Drosophila melanogaster: one gene and its partners. The protein of the gene in region 1 interacts with the protein of each later gene in a pairwise test. Each region holds a gene or a part of one and is shown on either strand. Other genes may lie near its edges.

The links.
Region 2: the proteins of Cwc25 (region 1) and Prp40 interact in a two-hybrid assay, tested with the Drosophila melanogaster proteins (one large-scale study listed by BioGRID).
Region 3: the proteins of Cwc25 (region 1) and CG6340 interact in a two-hybrid assay, tested with the Drosophila melanogaster proteins (one large-scale study listed by BioGRID).

What each region holds. Positions count from the first base shown.
Region 1 is NT_033779.5:2,743,357-2,748,146, forward strand, and holds Cwc25 (Cwc25), read left to right. Parts: upstream 1-1,741; 5' UTR 1,742-1,842; coding exon 1,843-1,860; intron 1,861-1,915; coding exon 1,916-2,138; intron 2,139-2,200; coding exon 2,201-3,525; 3' UTR 3,526-3,588; downstream 3,589-4,790. Other genes in the region: CG9961 (uncharacterized protein), read right to left, coding at 102-1,181, 1,248-1,356, 1,411-1,568; Pgk (phosphoglycerate kinase), read right to left, coding at 3,656-3,896, 3,955-4,790.
Region 2 is NT_033779.5:3,021,002-3,027,210, forward strand, and holds Prp40 (pre-mRNA processing factor 40), read left to right. Parts: upstream 1-2,224; 5' UTR 2,225-2,386; coding exon 2,387-2,793; intron 2,794-2,852; coding exon 2,853-3,085; intron 3,086-3,141; coding exon 3,142-4,190; intron 4,191-4,255; coding exon 4,256-4,621; intron 4,622-4,687; coding exon 4,688-4,768; intron 4,769-4,830; coding exon 4,831-5,115; 3' UTR 5,116-5,438; downstream 5,439-6,209. Other genes in the region: CG17264 (uncharacterized protein), read left to right, coding at 1-226; alpha4GT1 (alpha1,4-galactosyltransferase 1), read right to left, coding at 785-1,367, 1,422-1,948; Sf3b2 (splicing factor 3b subunit 2), read right to left, coding at 5,604-5,973, 6,037-6,209.
Region 3 is NC_004354.4:15,480,165-15,487,383, forward strand, and holds CG6340 (uncharacterized protein), read left to right. Parts: upstream 1-2,209; 5' UTR 2,210-2,310; coding exon 2,311-2,373; intron 2,374-3,017; coding exon of another isoform or gene 3,018-3,034; coding exon 3,035-3,256; coding exon of another isoform or gene 3,257-3,511; exon of another isoform or gene 3,512-4,216; intron 4,217-4,365; coding exon of another isoform or gene 4,366-4,404; exon of another isoform or gene 4,405-4,728; intron 4,729-4,957; coding exon 4,958-5,104; intron 5,105-5,167; coding exon 5,168-6,277; 3' UTR 6,278-6,448; downstream 6,449-7,219. Other genes in the region: CG6324 (uncharacterized protein), read left to right, coding at 1-372, 449-557, 786-853; Gmap (golgi microtubule-associated protein), read left to right, coding at 7,078-7,219.

The DNA of each region.
Region 1 (4,790 bases):
AAAATAACTTTGTATTTTGAGAGACTGATTGTTTAAATTGTCCAAATTGAATTTAAGATACATGTACATATAAGTGGAATAACCATTGTAAAGCAGTGCGTTTAGGCATCCGAAAGAGCAGCCACTCCAGGCAGAACCTTACCCTCCAGCAACTCCAGGGAAGCTCCTCCACCGGTGGACACATGCGAGACCTTGTCGGCGCCTCCGAACTTCAAGCAAGCGGTGGCCGTATCCCCACCACCAACGATTGTGGTGGCTCCTCGGTTAGTGGCCCCGATTACTGCCTCCAGCATGGACTCGGTGCCTTTGGAGAATAGCTCGTTTTCGAACAAGCCTGGCGGTCCGTTCCAGACGATGGTTTTGGATGCACAAATAGCGCCAGCAAACATCTGACTGGATGCCTGGCCGTGGTCCAGACCCATCATGTCCTCCGGTATGCCCTGTGTGGCATCCACATGTTCCACTTTATCCGGCTCCTTGTCGATCTTATTGGCTATGACAAAGTCAATCGGAAATAGTATATTCACGTCCTTCTCCTTCGCCTTGCAGACTATGTCGTTGACCAACTCGGATCCCTTCTCGTCGAAGAGGGACTTTCCAATCTCCATGCCATTGAGCACTTTGAGAAAGGTGAAGGCCATGCCACCGGATATGATCATGGCCGTTACATTGTTCAGGAGGTTCGTTATCAGTGGAATTTTATCGGCTATCTTGGCGCCACCCAGAATGGCCAAAAAGGGCTTGGCCGGATCGTGGAGAACCTTGGCAAAGTACTCCAGTTCCTTGTCCAGCAGGAAACCAGCCGCTCGCACCTTGTAGCCATCGCCCATCATGGAACTATGCGGACGATGTGCTGTTCCAAAGGCATCGTTCACATAGATCTCGCCCAGCTGCGCCAACTTGGCTCGGAATTCCTTCACCTTCGCGGGATCTGCTTTGACCTTCTTCTTGTTATCGTCCTTGCTGCTGCCCGTCTCCTCGGCATAGAAACGAAGATTCTCCAACAGGAACACAGTGCCGTCGGAGGGATCCTTCAAAGCTCTCAGGGTGCTATCACCCACGCAGTCGTCCAGGAATTGAACCGGCTGGCCCAGCACACTCTCCAGCTCCTTGGCCACGGGTTCCAGGCTAAACTTTTTGTTCTTTTTGCCATCCGGACGCCCCAAGTGGGATGCCAAAACCTAGGCAAAAAATTAAGTTATTCGTTCTATACTTTTTAGGAATTGAAGGAAGATATATCAACTCACCAAGGACTTACATTTCTTGTCCAAGGCATATTTAATACTGGGAAGTGCGGAAACAATTCGTTGGTTGTTGGTTATTTTGCCATCTTTCATGGGTACATTAAAGTCCACTCTAAAAATAAATTTATAAATCACACACTAAAACATATCTGGCAAGGATACTCACCTCATAAAAACCCTTTTCCCAGCCACATCTACATTTTTTAAGCTCAACTTCTTTACTTGCTTTCCATTGCAATCGTCTTTGCTAAAAAATCTTGGAAATCTTAATTTTGTAAATCGAGTTTGAGCTCTTTGGTATAAACTCTGCCGAATTGGAAGCATATTAAATAAATTTATTACCTGTTTTTGACTGAAAATACAATGCACGATGAGGAAGTAATTATGAAAATAAGTAACTAAATTAACTATTTTCAATAATTTTCGAAAAAGTAAAAGAAAAATGTAACCCTATGGCAACACCAAGTTAAATTACTTCACCACGATCTGGCAGCCCGGGCGAACATATGATTTTGTTGAAAACAACAGAAAAGGAGGGAAAATCTGGAATTGTTTGTAATTTGTTTGTTTTGCTGTTAAAACGCAAATCAAACCCAAGATGGGTGGCGGAGATCTAGTAAGTAATGTCTCCCAACTGATTATCCGTCAATTACCATTGATTTTTCCCGCAGAATCTGAAGAAATCATGGCATCCGCACACGATGAAAAACCAGGAGCGCGTTTGGAAGGCGGAGGAGCAAGCGAAGATGGAGGAGCGCAAGCTGCAGGATCTGCGCAAGGAGATCAACGAGGAGCGGGACAGAGAGGAACTAAGGCGATTGGGCGAAAGTTCCGGAGTGCTGAGCAATAATGGCGGAGCCGCCGGCGAGGCCAAGCTGGAGTGGATGTACAAAAGTGAGTCATACATGTGAAACTCTTATAAAACTCATTATCCATACATATTTATCTTGCTCCAGACAGCACAGAGCTGATCAACCGCGAGGAGTACCTCCTGGGCCGTAAGATCGACAAGTCCTTTGAGACGCTGCAAGCGGAGGAAAGCCGCCAGGAGCAGAACACAGTGGGTCTCAAGCAAACGATCAACCATGTGGAGCACGACTGTGTGCCCTTCTCCATCCGGACCTACCGCAATGTGCAGTCCAACGAACAGGTGGACATACAGCGCAAGACCCTCGAGGATCCCCTGATGCTCATCAAGCAGCGCGAAATGGAATCCCGTCGAAAGCTGCTTGAGAACCCCGTCAAGCTGAAGGAAATCCATCGCATTCTCAAGACTGAACAGGAACAAAAGGCCGCAGAGGGAAAGAAGAAGAACAAGAAGAACAAAAAGTCTAAGAAATCCAAAAAGAAGAAGAAGAACCGACGATCCAGCAATGAGGAAAGTAGTGACAGCGAGAGCAATGATAGCGACGATGACTTGGACAGAAAATTAGCCCGCCAAGTGAGCAAACTCAAGGGAGACCAAGGTGACCTTAAACTGGACAAGCTGCTGGACGCCAAGTACCGCACCATTTCAAATCAATTAGACATGGCCACCAAGAAGAAAAAGAGCAAGAAATCCAAGAAGAAGAAAAGCAGCGATAGCAGTGACGAAAGTAGTGACGAAGAGGAAGAGCCAAGGAGAAAGCACAAAAGGAGCCACAGCTCAGAGGACAGAAATCAGCGAGAAAGACGCAGGAGTAGAAGCCCCCGGGATAGAAAAAAGCGACAGAGTAGAAGTCCGGAACAAAGGCAAAGGCAAAGGAGTCCAGAAGAGAGAAGGGAAAGGCGCAGGAGCAGGAGCAGAAGTCCCTTAGCGAGAAGACAGAGAAGAACCAGGAGCCCAGAGGACAGAAAAGCCAGACGTCAAAGCAAGGACACTTCAAAGCAGCGCGAGAAACGCAGGAGTAGGACACCTGAAGAGCGTTCCAGATCAAAACGCAGCAGGAGCCGAAGTTCCAAAGGAGATGACAAGCGAAGGATTGCCGAAAGACCGCCTCCCAGCCGTCCCACCGGCAAGCCAAAGTTAAGCGAAGCCGACCGAGAAGCTCGCCTGCGCGAAATGATGGACAACGCCACTTGGAGAGAAGCGGATCGCAGCCAGGTGGTTCGCAAGCACCGAGAAGCATACGCGCGCGAGGAGGCCCAAAATCGTGAACGAGACTTCGACAAGGAGTTCATTAACAAGGAGGTGAAGAAGGCCATTGCCAACCATAACTCAATTGGCGATCGCATCCGGGCCAATCTCAACAACATACAGCGCACCGCCTCCTCAATGGACAGCAACTTTGCCCGCAAATAAACTAGGATTCCTTTATTTCGTATGCATTATATGGTTCCGCAACAAATAGATTCAACACTTTTTAACGTCGTGGTTTGTGCTTACAAGGTAAACGATGCGATTAACATTAATATACCGTATATATGTACGCTTAGGCGCTGGTCAATGCAGCCACGCCTGGCAGTGTCTTGCCCTCCAGGAGCTCCAGCGAAGCGCCGCCTCCGGTGGAGACGTGCGAGACGAGTGCCTCCGTGTTCCACTTGGCGCAGCAAGAGGCAGTGTCGCCGCCGCCGATGATGGAGACGGTGCCGTTCTTGGTGGCGGCCACCACGCCGTCCATGATGGACTTGGTGCCGTTGGCGAAGTTGGGGAACTCAAAGACACCGGGGGGTCTAAAATGGGAAAACCATTATAGGACATTTGGAGAAGTAGCTTCAGTGTGACACCTACCCGTTCCACACGATGAGCTTGGCGCGTGCGATGGGTGCCGCGAAGAGCTCACGGGTCTTGGGACCCACATCCAGACCCATGTGTCCATCGGGAATTCCGGCCTCCACGGTGGCCTCGCTGACGGCAGCGTTCTCGGCGAACTTGTCGCCGCAGACAAAGTCCACTGGCAGATGCAACTGCACGTTATTCTTCTTGGCCTTCTCCACCAGTTTCTCGACGATCTTGGAGCCCTCCTCGTCGAACAGGGAACCGCCGATCTTCATGTTGTTGAGGACCTTCAGGAAGGTGAAGGCCATGCCGCCACCGATGATCATCTCGTTGACCTTGTCCAGAAGGTTCTCAATCAGCTGGATCTTGTCGGCCACCTTGGCGCCACCGAGAATTGCCAGGAAGGGATTTGGTGGCTTGTCCAGGGCCTGCGAGAAGTACTTCAGCTCCTTGTTCAGCAACAGACCAGCTGCGCGCTGCTCGAAGCCATCGCCCATCATGGAACTGTGGGCGCGATGGGCAGTGCCGAAGGCGTCGTTGACATAGACATCGCCCAGCTTGGCCAGGCTGGCACGGAACTCCTTGACCTTGGCAGGATCGGCCTTGACCTTGCCGCCGCTGGCATCCAAGCCCTTGCCCTCCTCCTCCACGTAGAAGCGGACGTTCTCCAGCAGAATGACGGATCCCGGTGCGGGATCCTTGCAAGCGGCCTCCACTTCGCTGCCGACGCAGTCACTTAGGAAGATCACATCCTGGCCAAGCAGGGTCTTCAGCTCAGCGGCCACGGGTGCCAGGGTGTACTTGATGTTCTTGTTGCCATCGGGACGACCCAAGTGGGACATCAGCAC
Region 2 (6,209 bases), 280 kb from region 1:
CATAGAGGATTTCATAGGAACCGGTCTGGGCCCACTTCCTGGGTGCGAGCCCGTCCACTGCGGCGCCCAATTCTGCTCCTCGGGCGTGTGGCCCTGTCGCATTGAAAGCACTGTGACTCCGTTCTATATTGGTGTCCACTTCGGCAATGGCCAGGGCGCCGGCAAGGCGAACGCAGAGGATAACGTGGGTGCCTGTCTGCGATATTCCCAAGTGCAATGCATGTAATGACTTGCGGGGATATTAACTTTCATTTCGCTTTAACAAATTATTTTTCAATTATCGAAATAGAGTTAAGATACTGTGTTTGTGATGACTTAAATACTTCTATTTTATTTGTAGGTTGATAGTAACATTCCCTGGATAAATAGTATGTACAAAATTCTTCAACTTATTCGAACTTAGTTAAGACAAACTACAATGATTCAAAATAGTATTCTAAGCGACTTTTACAGCTTTCAATAAATGTCTATGTGAGTTGTTCGCTTGCTTATATTATCGAATTATATTCACAATCAGTATTTAAATACATATATATAATGTGCAATCGGAGAGGTAAAGCTTATCGCAAAATAAAAAACCATTCCATTTGACTTGAACTGTGCTGCGGATGTGCGTTTGAGTAAGCTGACATCGCTTGGAATGACAATGAAACTTAATGCCAACAGGATGACAGCAAATAGGTAGGGATACATTTAGCAATGGCCCCTTTGCAGGGCGACGACTTTGGCTTGCAGCGGTAAACATTCATATACAAATGATAAGAGCTTGATAACCCTTCTGATACTAGAAGTATTCGCCAGCAGCCTTGTACGATCTCGGGCAATTTTGTTCGGCATACAAGGCGTAGGCGTTCTTAGATCCTATTTTGATAGGCAGCTTGCTCGAGTGCTTATTCCACACATGCACTACATACGAGTCCTTGCACCGGGCGATTGTCTCTTCTAAGTTTTCCGGCTCAAAGAAGTCTCGCCACTGCTTCCACGGTACGGCGTAAAAGGCGCCCCGTCCGAATACTTTGAAGCCCATGCAGCGCTTGGGGTCCTCTCGCATCAGAGCAATGTCTTTGGTGCCACATATCTTCTGAGCCACACGGGTTATCACCCCTGGGCCATTGTTGCCCCAGTCCCCGCCGTTAAAGTTGTGCTGAAAGTCGCGCAAACAGGACGCGGCGATCTCGTGGCCAAAGCCAGTGGCTGCCAGGTTCATTACGCCAGCTGCCAAATGGGTGTTGGACTCAGCACCTGTGTAATTGGGCGGCACCTTCTCCATGTTGCGAAGCACCACCACATCCATGTCCAGATAAAGACCGCCATACCGATAGAGGGTAAGGTAGCGGAGAAAGTCTGATATGTGCGAGAACAAATATCTGGAAAGGTAATGTCATCAATGAGTAATAACTAGGGAGAGTCTTTAAACTCACTTTGACCGCGACAAACGACCATCTTTGAGCCACTCCTCCATGGGCGTGCCAGATGCGTAACTCTCGAGATTCAGTCGACGTAGATGGACATTGCTGTAACTGAGAATGGCCTCCAACAATGGTTGGGGATGGCTTTTGTTGTTGGAGATTCGATAGGTGGGGCCAGCGAACAGGACGAACACTTGGAAATTCGGATTATGCATCGCTGCCGACTCGATTGCGCATGCCTGGCGGGCAGTGACCTTCAGCGTCTCCAGCTGTCTGTTCTCGGATAGGCGGCAGCTGGTCTCGTGAAAGAAGATACTGTTTCCGGGCGAGGGTTTGGGATCCGCCTGGAGGACGTCGCCCAATAGATTTGTTTCGCCATCTGCAGTTAGCGCCTGCTGAGTTGCCAGTACTTGGCCCTCCATAAAGCATGAGTGGTATTTATTTTCCGAAGTGTAGATGTAGAAGAGGCCTCCAATTACCATTAGGACGAGGATGATGAACATCCTGCGTGCCACCGCAATGGGCAACCAGAGGAGCATGACTGCAGAGAGATCTGGTAGCAAAAAATAGTGTAAGCATCATTTAACTTAAATGTTGTACATTTCAGCTATTTCTTACTCTATGTACGCCACATCGTCGCTGGGCAGTATTCCTTAATCGCCCTCGACGACAAGGAAACTCTAACAATTGAAAGGCACACAGCGAAGAACCACAACAAAAAGCGCTGTTATCGTTCCGCGGAAGCTAATCGATAACAGAAAATCTACCGGGTGGACAGTTCTCGTGTGTGGACTCGATAACTCGATGGGGTGGGCAGTTTCATTGCACAATCGACATCTCTGGCGTGGAAAGCGGCATTCGCTTTGAGAATTTTACGGATTTTTTCAATTACCGAAAGAAAAGTGAATTGGCCGGCGCAGCACGCAACGACCGGTAGACTCTCGGTGCACCCATTACCCATATAGCAAAATAGTGAAATGAATGTTCCTCCTAGCGTGGGCAATGGAGGAGCGCCACCGGGAAGGGGCATAGGCTACACGCCGCCCGGTGCAATCGTGCCGCAGTTTCCACCACCCGGATTTGGGGCCCCACCCCCACCGGAGCTGGCCGCCGCCTTCGGGGTGATGGCCACCAGCACCGAGTGGACGGAGCACAAGGCGCCGGACGGACGACCATACTATTACAATCAGAACACGAAGCAAAGCTCGTGGGAGAAGCCGGAGGCTCTGATGACGCCCGCCGAGCTGCTGCACAACCAGTGTCCCTGGAAGGAGTATCGCTCGGATACGGGCAAAGTGTACTACCACAACGTGGCCACCAAGGAGACCTGCTGGGAGCCGCCGCCGGAGTACGTGGATATGAAGGCCAAGGCGAAGGCGGAAGAGTAAGTAAATTAGTTGTGCATCGCGTGCCACTTAGTAATATGATTCCTTGTTTACCCAGAGCTGCTGCAGCCGCCAAAGCCGTAGCAGCCATGACATCATCCAGCTTAGCCGGCATGGTGCCACCTGCTGCTCTGGCTAGTATTCTTCCCGCTGCCCTGCCTGTTGCCCCCCGATTACCGACTCCTGAGATCCACTCGCCGCTGACACCCAGCAGCAACGAGAACTCGTCATCAGCGATGGATCAGGCCATGGCCGCCACGTTAGCGGCTATAGAGGTGCCACAACAAAATGGTAAATATTATAAACTCTGAAAATATACAGCCCAAGTCACACGACTTTCTTTGCAGCTAAGAAGGACGACAAGTCAGAGAGCGCTGTGGTGTTTAAGGATAAACGCGAGGCCATCGAGTCCTTTAAAGAGCTGCTGCGGGACCGCAATGTGCCATCAAATGCGAACTGGGACCAGTGTGTGAAAATCATATCAAAGGATCCGCGATACGCAGCCTTCAAAAATCTGAACGAGCGCAAGCAAACATTCAATGCCTACAAGACGCAGAAGATTAAGGACGAGCGCGAGGAGTCTCGCTTAAAAGCCAAGAAGGCAAAAGAGGACTTGGAGCAGTTCCTTATGTCCAGCGATAAGATGAACTCGCAGATGAAATATTTTCGTTGTGAAGAAGTATTTGCCGGAACGCGAACATGGACCGCGGTGCCGGAACCGGATCGGCGAGATATATACGAGGACTGTATATTTAATTTAGCGAAGCGAGAGAAGGAAGAAGCGCGGTTGCTGAAAAAACGAAACATGAAGGTTCTGGGCGAGCTGCTAGAGTCGATGACTTCAATCAATCATGCCACCACCTGGTCAGAGGCTCAGGTTATGCTATTGGACAACGTAGCATTTAAGAATGATGTGACTCTGCTCGGAATGGACAAGGAGGACGCCCTAATTGTCTTCGAGGAGCACATTCGCACCTTGGAAAAGGAGGAGGACGAGGAACGTGAGCGGGAAAAGAAGCGCATGAAGCGACAGCAGCGCAAAAACAGGGACTCCTTTCTTGCGCTGCTCGACTCCCTGCATGAAGAGGGAAAGCTCACTTCCATGTCGCTGTGGGTGGAGCTGTATCCCATCATATCAGCCGATTTGCGATTCTCCGCTATGCTCGGCCAGAGCGGGTCTACACCCCTGGATCTTTTCAAGTTCTATGTGGAAAACCTGAAAGCCCGCTTCCATGATGAGAAAAAAATAATAAGGGAGATCCTCAAGGAAAAGGCATTTGTTGTCCAAGCGAAGACATCCTTCGAGGACTTTGCCACGGTCGTGTGTGAAGATAAGCGGTCAGCCAGCCTGGACGCGGGAAATGTGAAGCTCACATACAACTCCCTGCTGGAAAAGGTAACTATGGAGTGGGAAAAAAACCTTATATCAATAAAACTCATTTGTGTATTTATAATCTACAGGCCGAGGCCATTGAAAAGGAACGGATGAAAGAGGAGGTGCGAAGGTTGCGGAAACTAGAAAATGAAATTAAAAACGAATGGCTGGAGGCGAACGTCTCAGTGGCCGAACCCTATGAGAGCGCCAAGAAGCTGGTAGAACACCTTGAAGCATTTGCCCTTTATGAAAAAGAAATCGGTGTGGAGAAGATCTGGGAGGACTTTGTTAAGGAAAGCGAAGATGCGTGCAGCCATCATCACTCGCGATCACGAAAATCTAAGAAAAACAAGAAGCACAAAAAACGAGTACGGTCCGTCTCGAGATCAGACATCGAGAATGAGCATATAGAAGTGGAGAAGTCCAAGCGAAGGCGCTCCAAGACACGATCGGTTAGTATGCTAAACATAACATTAAATGCAACTTGTAAGTTAAATAATAACGTCACGCACATACAGCATTCCCTGACCTCAATTGGCAGCATCGAGAGCGAAAAATTGCTGAAGAAGAAAAAGAAGCGCAAGAACAAACTGCGAGGTGTACGTAGCAAGTCGGCCCAGTCCTTGGACAACTATACTATCTAACATGGCTTACATTTCAGTCCTCCTGCGAATCGGATGTTCCAGGCATTCAATCGCCGGGAACTCAAGCTCTACTTCAGAACGACTCAAACTCGCACTCACCCGCAAAGAAAAAGAAGAAGGAGAAGCGAGCTAAGAAGGACAAGCGACACAACAGGCACAATCGATCCGGCACGCCCCTTAGTCCTGCCCAGTCCGTCGAGTCGTCTGGATCGCGAAACGAGGAGCTGACGTTAAGTGACGGCGAGCTGGAATCGAAGCGAGCGGCTCTTCTAGCCCAACTCAGCGAGCAGCTCGACGAGTGACCAGCTGACAGGCGTTGAGTCAAAGCCGACATCGACATCGTGTGGCACTCTCTAGCTCTAGCTTAAGGAGGATCGGGAGAGGTAGCTAGCCCTGGACTCAGTTGCTGGACAAGTTCTCTTTTCAGTCCTTGCCTTCCACTGCACTCTGCTTCGTTTGGTTTAGATACTGTCCTGGTCCCAGCACAAACCACACAGCGAACCACAATTGTAATTTCTTAGTCTCAATAAGTTTCAATGTATAAATGAGAATTAAACCTAACGAGTCAAATTTTAAGTTATACGCAAATGATTTTGATTCTGCATCAAAATAAACAAATTACGATAGAAATTACAAGATAAGATCTTTTGTGTTAACTTCACTTTTTGCAGAACCTATTTTAAATCCTCGCATTTAAATTGAATGACGCGAACTTATTGTAGTTTTTACTATGTTTAATGACATCCTTGACAATCGCACAAATGGAAAAGTTGTATTTCTTGTTGTCAAACTAAAACTTGAACTCCTTGTACTTCTTTGTGGTCTTGGCCGGATCCGTTTGCTGTCGCTTGCGCTTCGATTTCTGCCGCGCCACATGTTCGGCCAACATGTCTGACAGATCCTCCTTTTGCAGGTGATTCTGCTGCTCACGCATTTGTTGCTCATAACGCTGGGCCATTGCGTCATTGTCCAAGTCCAATTCGCTAGGATCGAGAGCCAGTTCCACAATGCCCTCGCGATCTGTGGTTGATCGAACTGGGGGCTGTTTGTTAGCCCCACTGCCACTGACGTCGTAGACATGGGTTGATCCCATCATGGAAGCCCCTATGCGGTCGGTGCGCTTCTCAGGCAGCACTTGATACAGAACAGGAGTTTCGTTGCTAGGAGAAGTTGGAATAATGGGCTTAATCGTGATGTTATTTTAAAAATATTAGTTCACTTACTCCTCCATCTCGGCTTCAATTTTCTTCTTGCGAAGCTCAATGTTCTCGGGGGTTTCCATGCCAGCTGGAACACTGGTGAGTCCAGAGGGTGTTACTAGTCCCTCTACTGGCGTTACCAGGCCAGTCTCATCCTGCTGATCGCCCAAGTCCTCGCCATCTTCCTCTTCCTCCTC
Region 3 (7,219 bases), on another chromosome or scaffold:
GCGCCATTTGGTCAGATTCAGCTGCAGTTCATAGAGCGGATCCGCCAGATCCATCATATCAATAAGATTAATCAGATCAATCAGATCCATCGGATCCAACAGAACCAACAGGAGCCGCAGCAGTTCCAACAGCCGCAAGAGATCCAACAGCGACAGCAGTTCCAACAGCCGCAGCAGTTCCAACAGCGGCAGCAGTTCCAACAGCCGCAGCAGTTCCAACAGCGACAGCAGTTCCAACAGCGGCAGCAGTTCCAACAGCCGCAGCAGCAGACGCAGCAGCGTACGCGCAGCTTTTCATCGGAGATGCAAGAGATGGCGCGCAAAATGAGCAGGACATTACTGGGACATCGCCAGGAGCAACACGAGAATCAGGTAATGATAATCACGTTTGTTGGTCTGCAAAGTATATATGTATATCTCTAATATATGCACTTGCCTACCTCCTCAGCCGAATATGCGCTACTTAAAGTCTGGAGAGGAAGGACCACGTCCAGGACGTTTTGATGGAGGCGAAGAGTCGGGCGGACGCAAGCCAAATCGTGGTCTAAAGGTTGCAAGTAAGGACCGCCATTTTTATAAATTTCTAAATTTAATTAGGTTGGGTTATTGCACTTTTAGTATCGACAGCTTGTAGTATCAATGCCAAAACATTATTTGCATTTCCCACAGATTCATGCATTCTAGAAAGCTTTTTTTGAATTTTGTAAACGCTTAGATCAGTAGTATTTAGCATTTGAGACATTTAAGACTTATGTACACTTATATTCACTTTATTCGCAACACAGAGCGTCGCTTTAATAACAAAATGGAGTCGGAGCGCCAAGATAGTGACTCTGATGGGCGTTTTTGCTAGAGGATCGGATGGAAAGAAAGATGATCTCAAAAAACTGGAAGATCTCGCCTTGAATAAAAAAAAACTTCCCACCGCTACCCGGGACATCGAACAAGTACAGGAATTTGGAAATTTGAAAAATCTCAGAGGAACAGGACAACTTGAAGCAGAAATTTTGAAAACATCTATTTGTGGCCTAAATATAAGAGCCTTTTTTTTTTTGTATACCTTTGGAGACATATCTATTAACAGAAGACAGAATTGCATTTACACACATATGTATCTACATATTGTTGACAGAAAAAATAATTGCATTTGCACAGATACGAGAATTGTTTGCTAACAGAAAAAACAATTTCATTTACACACAAATCTATTGGTAACAGAAAAAAAAAATTGGTAACACAAATACGAGAATCTATTGGTAACAGAAAACGAAATTGCATTTACGCACGTATGCGAATCTATTGTTAACAGAAAACAGAATTACATTAACCATTTCATAAACACACCTGATAAAACCACCGAACATGCATCAAAATGCTTGACTCGTGTAAATATCGAATTTGTGTGCCATAAAGTAATCAGTTTCGTGATCAATTTCGTGATTACAATTTTGTGATAGCTAGTAATTAATCCATTCCCATACAATTTTAGGGACTAAAGCAAAACACAATTATATTTACATTTTTTATGCAAACAACTGATGATAATAAAATCTTTACTAAAAAAATAAAACAACTTTCAACCTTTTTGAATGTGAACAATTGTACGAATCTAAAAAAAGGGAAGCATAAGCTGATCTTCTTAATAACGTTGGTATTCAACGCTATTGCGAGGCTGCAGCAATACTTTCCTTCTCAGTGGAAGCTCTGGATGAGTTCCATGATCCATAAACCTGGCAAACCGAAACAAAAGGGAGCCCGCTTCCAACAGGCCGATCAGCTTTCTCCTTTCGATCTCAAAGGTGTTTGACAGACTAATTGCTGCCCAGATAGTCAGGATAACGGAATCGAAAAGGATTACTCCTTACAGTACCGTTTAGCAACTCCATGCCGTGTACAGTATCCGCCCATCAATGAGGCTTAATTGAAGCCAACCGAGGTACCTCATTCTTCGATCTCCTTTAAGGCGGGTACGAATGGTCCGAATTAATATGCCTTTCTATATATGCCTTTACTATATGAGTAATTAAGCTTAAAAAGCTAGTTTAAAAACACGCGCTTTAGTGTATTTGAAATGTGTTTTACCTATTTTCGTTTCGTTTTTCAAAACATCGGCTTTTCAAATATACCGTTATTTATCAACGGATAGTTAGGAAATTCTATCGATACTTCGAAGCGCGCTGGCCACACTTTTCATCTCTATCAATAGTTCCACCACTACTTTCTTTTTTAGCAATTGATTCGTTTTTTTTTTGGACGCACCTGCGTGCTTCAGCCACATTTTTGGCCTAAAACAATTTTTGGCCCCAAACAATGGAGGCCCTAGTGAATTATAGTAGTGAGGACGACCAGGAGGATGCTGGCTTTCAGATACGGGTAAATATGCCTACACCGCAAGGCCGGAAGCAGCTGAAAAAAGAAAGAATCATCAGAGCGCATTTTGTGTACACATACATCTTCATCACTTTTTTCTTCCTTGCGTATATGGGAACCGCGTGTGTGTCGTGTTTGTGTTGTGTGTGTGCGAATGCGCGGAAACGCAAAATAAAGAACTGATCCCATCAATTCAAAAAACATAAAAAAACGAGGAAAATTCAAAACCACTAACCACTCCAATAATACATTTCAAGTATGCTTTGGTAAAATAATGCCAATTTGCTGTTTCTTAAAAGTTGCAAAATTCCCTTGGCACCACAACAACTGCAGCATTTGCCGCATGCTAAATCCTCGAGAACAACAACAACTGCTAACTTACTAGAGCAGAACAACAATAACTATGTTAGCGGCAACAGTCCGCGCGGCAAGGAAAGAGATTGCCGTATTTGAGAACCGTGTGTGTGTGTGTGTGCTTGTGTGTGTGTACGAATGCGCGGAAACGCGAAATAAAGATAACTGATCCCATCAATTAAAAAAAACATAAAAAAAACGAGCAAAAATCAAAACCACTAACCACTCCAATAATATAGTTCAAGTATCCTAGTGCTTTAGTAAAATAATGCGAATTTGCTGTTTCTTAAAAGTTGCAAAATTCCCCTAGGCACCACAACAACAACAACAACTGCGGCATTTGCCGCATGCTAAATCCCCGAAAACAACAACTGATAGCTTATTAAAGCAGAAGAACAACAATAACTATGGCAGCGGCAACAGTCCGCGCGGCAAGGAACGAGAAAGAGAGCGCGAGCGGGAGAGAGAGAAGACAAAGCCGATGTCGCAGCAGCAGAGTCATAGGAGCAGCAGCAGAGGACGCATTGATGAGGTAAAGACTTGCCGTTGCACCAAATCGATATTTACTTCCCATAATATATACCAAATACCATATGCTATTGTACTCCATACGTATGTGTGTGTGTGTGTATCTGGGTTGGAGCGCAAGCGGATCTTTCATGTGCCGTTTCCTTCCGCTGCCGCAAAGGGCGACGCCATCGCCGACTGCGCTGCCAGCAGCAGCACTTACAGAGGCAGGCAAAATAATAGCACAGAGTCCGCTTTAAATCAAACGTCTAATGTATAGATATCAATCAAATCGAAACCGAGATCTTTTAAACTTTTGAGTTAAAGTTAATCCCAGTTGTATACATTGGCCAATTCACTTCAAATAAAAAAGAGAAAATGCCACGTAATGAATGAAAAGTACTTGTGCCAAAAAAACAGGACACTGCATCAAATCAATAATGCAGCCTAGTTTTCAGTGCCTCCATTCCTTTACGCCAGCAAAAGTAATAATTCTATACATAGGCAAGGTCATTGGCAGCAGTACTTCATTGTTAAAACTAAATTAATGGAATGTTAAAACACAATAATGCATGCAGTCCATTCCCCACTGGTTCTATAGTTTATATTGCAATTAAAGAAAAGAACAGATTCACAATCTTTTCTTGTAGTCTTGTAGTTCAGCTTTACTTCGGTTATCATTGATTAATACTTCCATTAGTTACAGATATAAATCGCAGATCTTGTTAGATTCTGCATCTTTAGGGGCTTCAGGCATTTTCTTGTGCTATTATTTAGTCATCTGCTGTTCCCAACTGAAAAATTCAATATTCATATATTTATGTATATTGATCTCCACGATCGACTGCATGCGCTCCAACCCGTTACATCCAAATTTCGCTACTGCCAGATTTATATGGGCCAAAAACTCAAAATTAAATCCAAAGACAGAAAATTCTGTTTGTTCGGTCCGCTTGCGATTTACACACACATTGTTGTTGTTGTTGTTCGGCCAGCTTAGTTAAGTCTACAAACTTTATATGCCAATCAATATTTAAATGACTAAACTCTACCATTTTATTATCATTGTTATTGTTGTTACGTAAACGAAACCGAATCGAACCAAAACGAAAAACCATTTTCCAAACAAACAAGTCAAAAACAAAAAACGAAAACAAACCTGACCGACGATAATTGACGATAGCCCGATCGTAGTAATCGCTCGATTACCAATAGCTTCTTCGATAGTGCGACAATCGATCAAATTTGTTATGACCACCACTGTGTGTGTAGTCCTGTGTGCGACTCTGTGGCTGTGTTGGTGGGTGTGTGTGAGCCACTGAAAAAGGTAAAAGCAAATAGAACGATCACACTCACCACACACATGCCCGCCCGCACACACACACACACACACAACCACCCACCCATCCACCCACTCACTCACTCACTGGTGGCGCGAAAGCGAGAGAGAGAGAGAGAGAGAGAGATAATGCGAAAGAGAGATCAAGGCGCACGAAAGTGAGTATACAAAAAGCGATCAAATAGAACCTAACAACTCTCTAAGCAATCTAGGACACCCCGGAAAGGACCCCAGCTGGTGGCCCACAGCCCGAATCCTCTTTCTATTTCCCCTCCAGCATCCTAAGCATCTAGCAACTAGACCTAGATCCTTAGTCGCCGGCGCAGATTCGTAGATCCATACGCTCTAATGTAATTCTCCTCAATGTGTTGCTTCATCCCGTTCCAGGAGCCGAAGCCCAGCAGTCGCCACCGCCAGGAGCGGGACAAGGACAGGGAACGGGACCGCGACCGCGAACGTGACAGGGACAAGGACAAGAAGCGCAGCGATTCAGAACGCAGTCGCGACAAAGGACGCGACAAGAATCACAGCAAGGTGAGACAGAGTCCTAATCAACTCAGCATAACTCAGCCAAACTAATGTCTGTGCTATTTACAGGGCGACCATCGCCACCATCGTACCAAAGACGGCGACAGCCACAGAGAGCGGGAGCGGGATCGTGACCGGGAGAGGGAGCGAGATCGCGACAAGGATCGGGACCGTAGGCGTTCGGAGAAGAGCAGTCGCCACCACAGTGGCAAGGAACGCCATCATCATCATCACAACAACTCATCGTCAGCCGCCGCTGCAGCGGTCAGTGCAGCATCAGTCCGTCGATCCCATGATGAACGCAGTCGTCGTCGCCGGGACTCTCGATCCGGTTCCCGCACACCAACGGGCACGCCGCCCTCTCGTCGCCGCCATCAGTCGCAACAGTCACGCAAATATCGCGAACGCGACTCCAGCAGCCGCTCCAGATCTCCGAAGGAAGAACAAGCCACAACACTTCGCGGTGGAGCTGTGGCCGGATCTCATATGCTGCTCGCTAAATCAGGCGGCGGAGCAGGATCAACGGCAACTAATGCAACAGCAGCGGCGAGGGTTGCAGCGGCCGCTCTGGTAGCTGCCAATGCAACAGCCGCAGCCATGGCAGCCGGTTCATCCGGCGGCGGTGGCGGCGGTCTCCTGCCCACGCCCAACTATGCGCCCAAGATACCCTCGCTGATGTCCTTGGAGCTGAGCACACCAGCGGCAGCAGCACCAGTCGCAGAACCCATCCAGCTGCCCAGTTACTACAATCCGAGCATCATCAATGCCAATCGCTATGCGGAGCAGCAGCAGAAGCGCAAGCTACTGTGGGGCTCCAAGAAGAGCGAGAACTCGGCGAACAAGTGGGGCAACGCGCACTTCTCCCAGGACTCCGACGGCAAGGTGGCCTCCAAGTTTATGCGGCTCATGGGTATCAAGAACGCTGGTACGTCCGGCAATGACGATGGCAAGGGCGGCCAGGCGGAGTCCACCAATGGAAGTGCAGCAGGCGAGGGAAACCGCGCAGTAAGAGGTGCTGCGCCATCGGGAGCCGCTGGCGGAACGAAAGTGCCCACGGACGTGCAGCAGCGCCAGCGCATGTTCTCCAACATGGAGCAGCAGTACGAGATGGCGCGAGCCGCCACACACACGATGCGTGGCGTGGGGCTTGGTTTCGGCTCCCAGCCACGTACTTTCTAGAAGGGATCGGAACGGAGGAGGATCGGCTCCCTGCCAGGCTGTAAATACCATGCCACTCACTCAACTCATTAGTCAGTCAATATGTTTCTCCTCAACAACTTTTTGTTTGTGTTGAGAAAATTTTTTGTTTTTTTGATTTCAAATAAACGTTGCAACAGAATTTATGAAGTGACGTGGCTCTCTCTTTGGATTTGCTTGGGATAAATGCGTCGTTAGGTAGACTTTTAGTCTACACTATTACTAAGTATGCTAAGAGTATCCAACTTTAACTACAAAGTTCAGCGGCTCTAATCGAAGAATGCTTGAATATTCAATAATAAATAAAGGTATTTTTTTTTACAATAAACAATTTTAAATTTTGGCACTCTGTTTAGTAGATGTCAGTTTTTTGCCATGCACCTTGGCGGTCGGTCTGCCTATCGCCAATCGATAGCTGACCAAAAACAATAACAATAACAAAATCAGCTGACGATAGGACGTCGGATATCGATACCATATCACAAACTAATAATAAAAATAATAATAAATAAGAGAATTAATACTACTAGAACACAAACAAAAGCATATAAAGCTTACACATCCTTTATTAAAACAAACAGCCAAATTGGATTTAAATTGTGGAACGAAGCAAACAGAACCGCTTGAGTTTGTGCCACTGCCACGCAAAAAAAATTATCGTTTCCAAAAAACTAAGCATACTTCATCCGAAATTAGCAATCAGCTAGCCAAAAGCGGAGTGATCTCGTCGAGAAGAGCCACGCCCCCTATCCGCCCACGCTGCCCAGAAGAGAGCAGCGAAGATGTCGTGGCTGAACAGCAGTCTCAGCCAGCTGAAGGGCCAACTAACCAATCTGGCGCAGGAAGTTCTGGCCGAAACGGCAGGACCCGGCGACTTGGAGTATGAGGGACATCAAGCAGGAGGTGCTAGCGTCCAAGACGCCG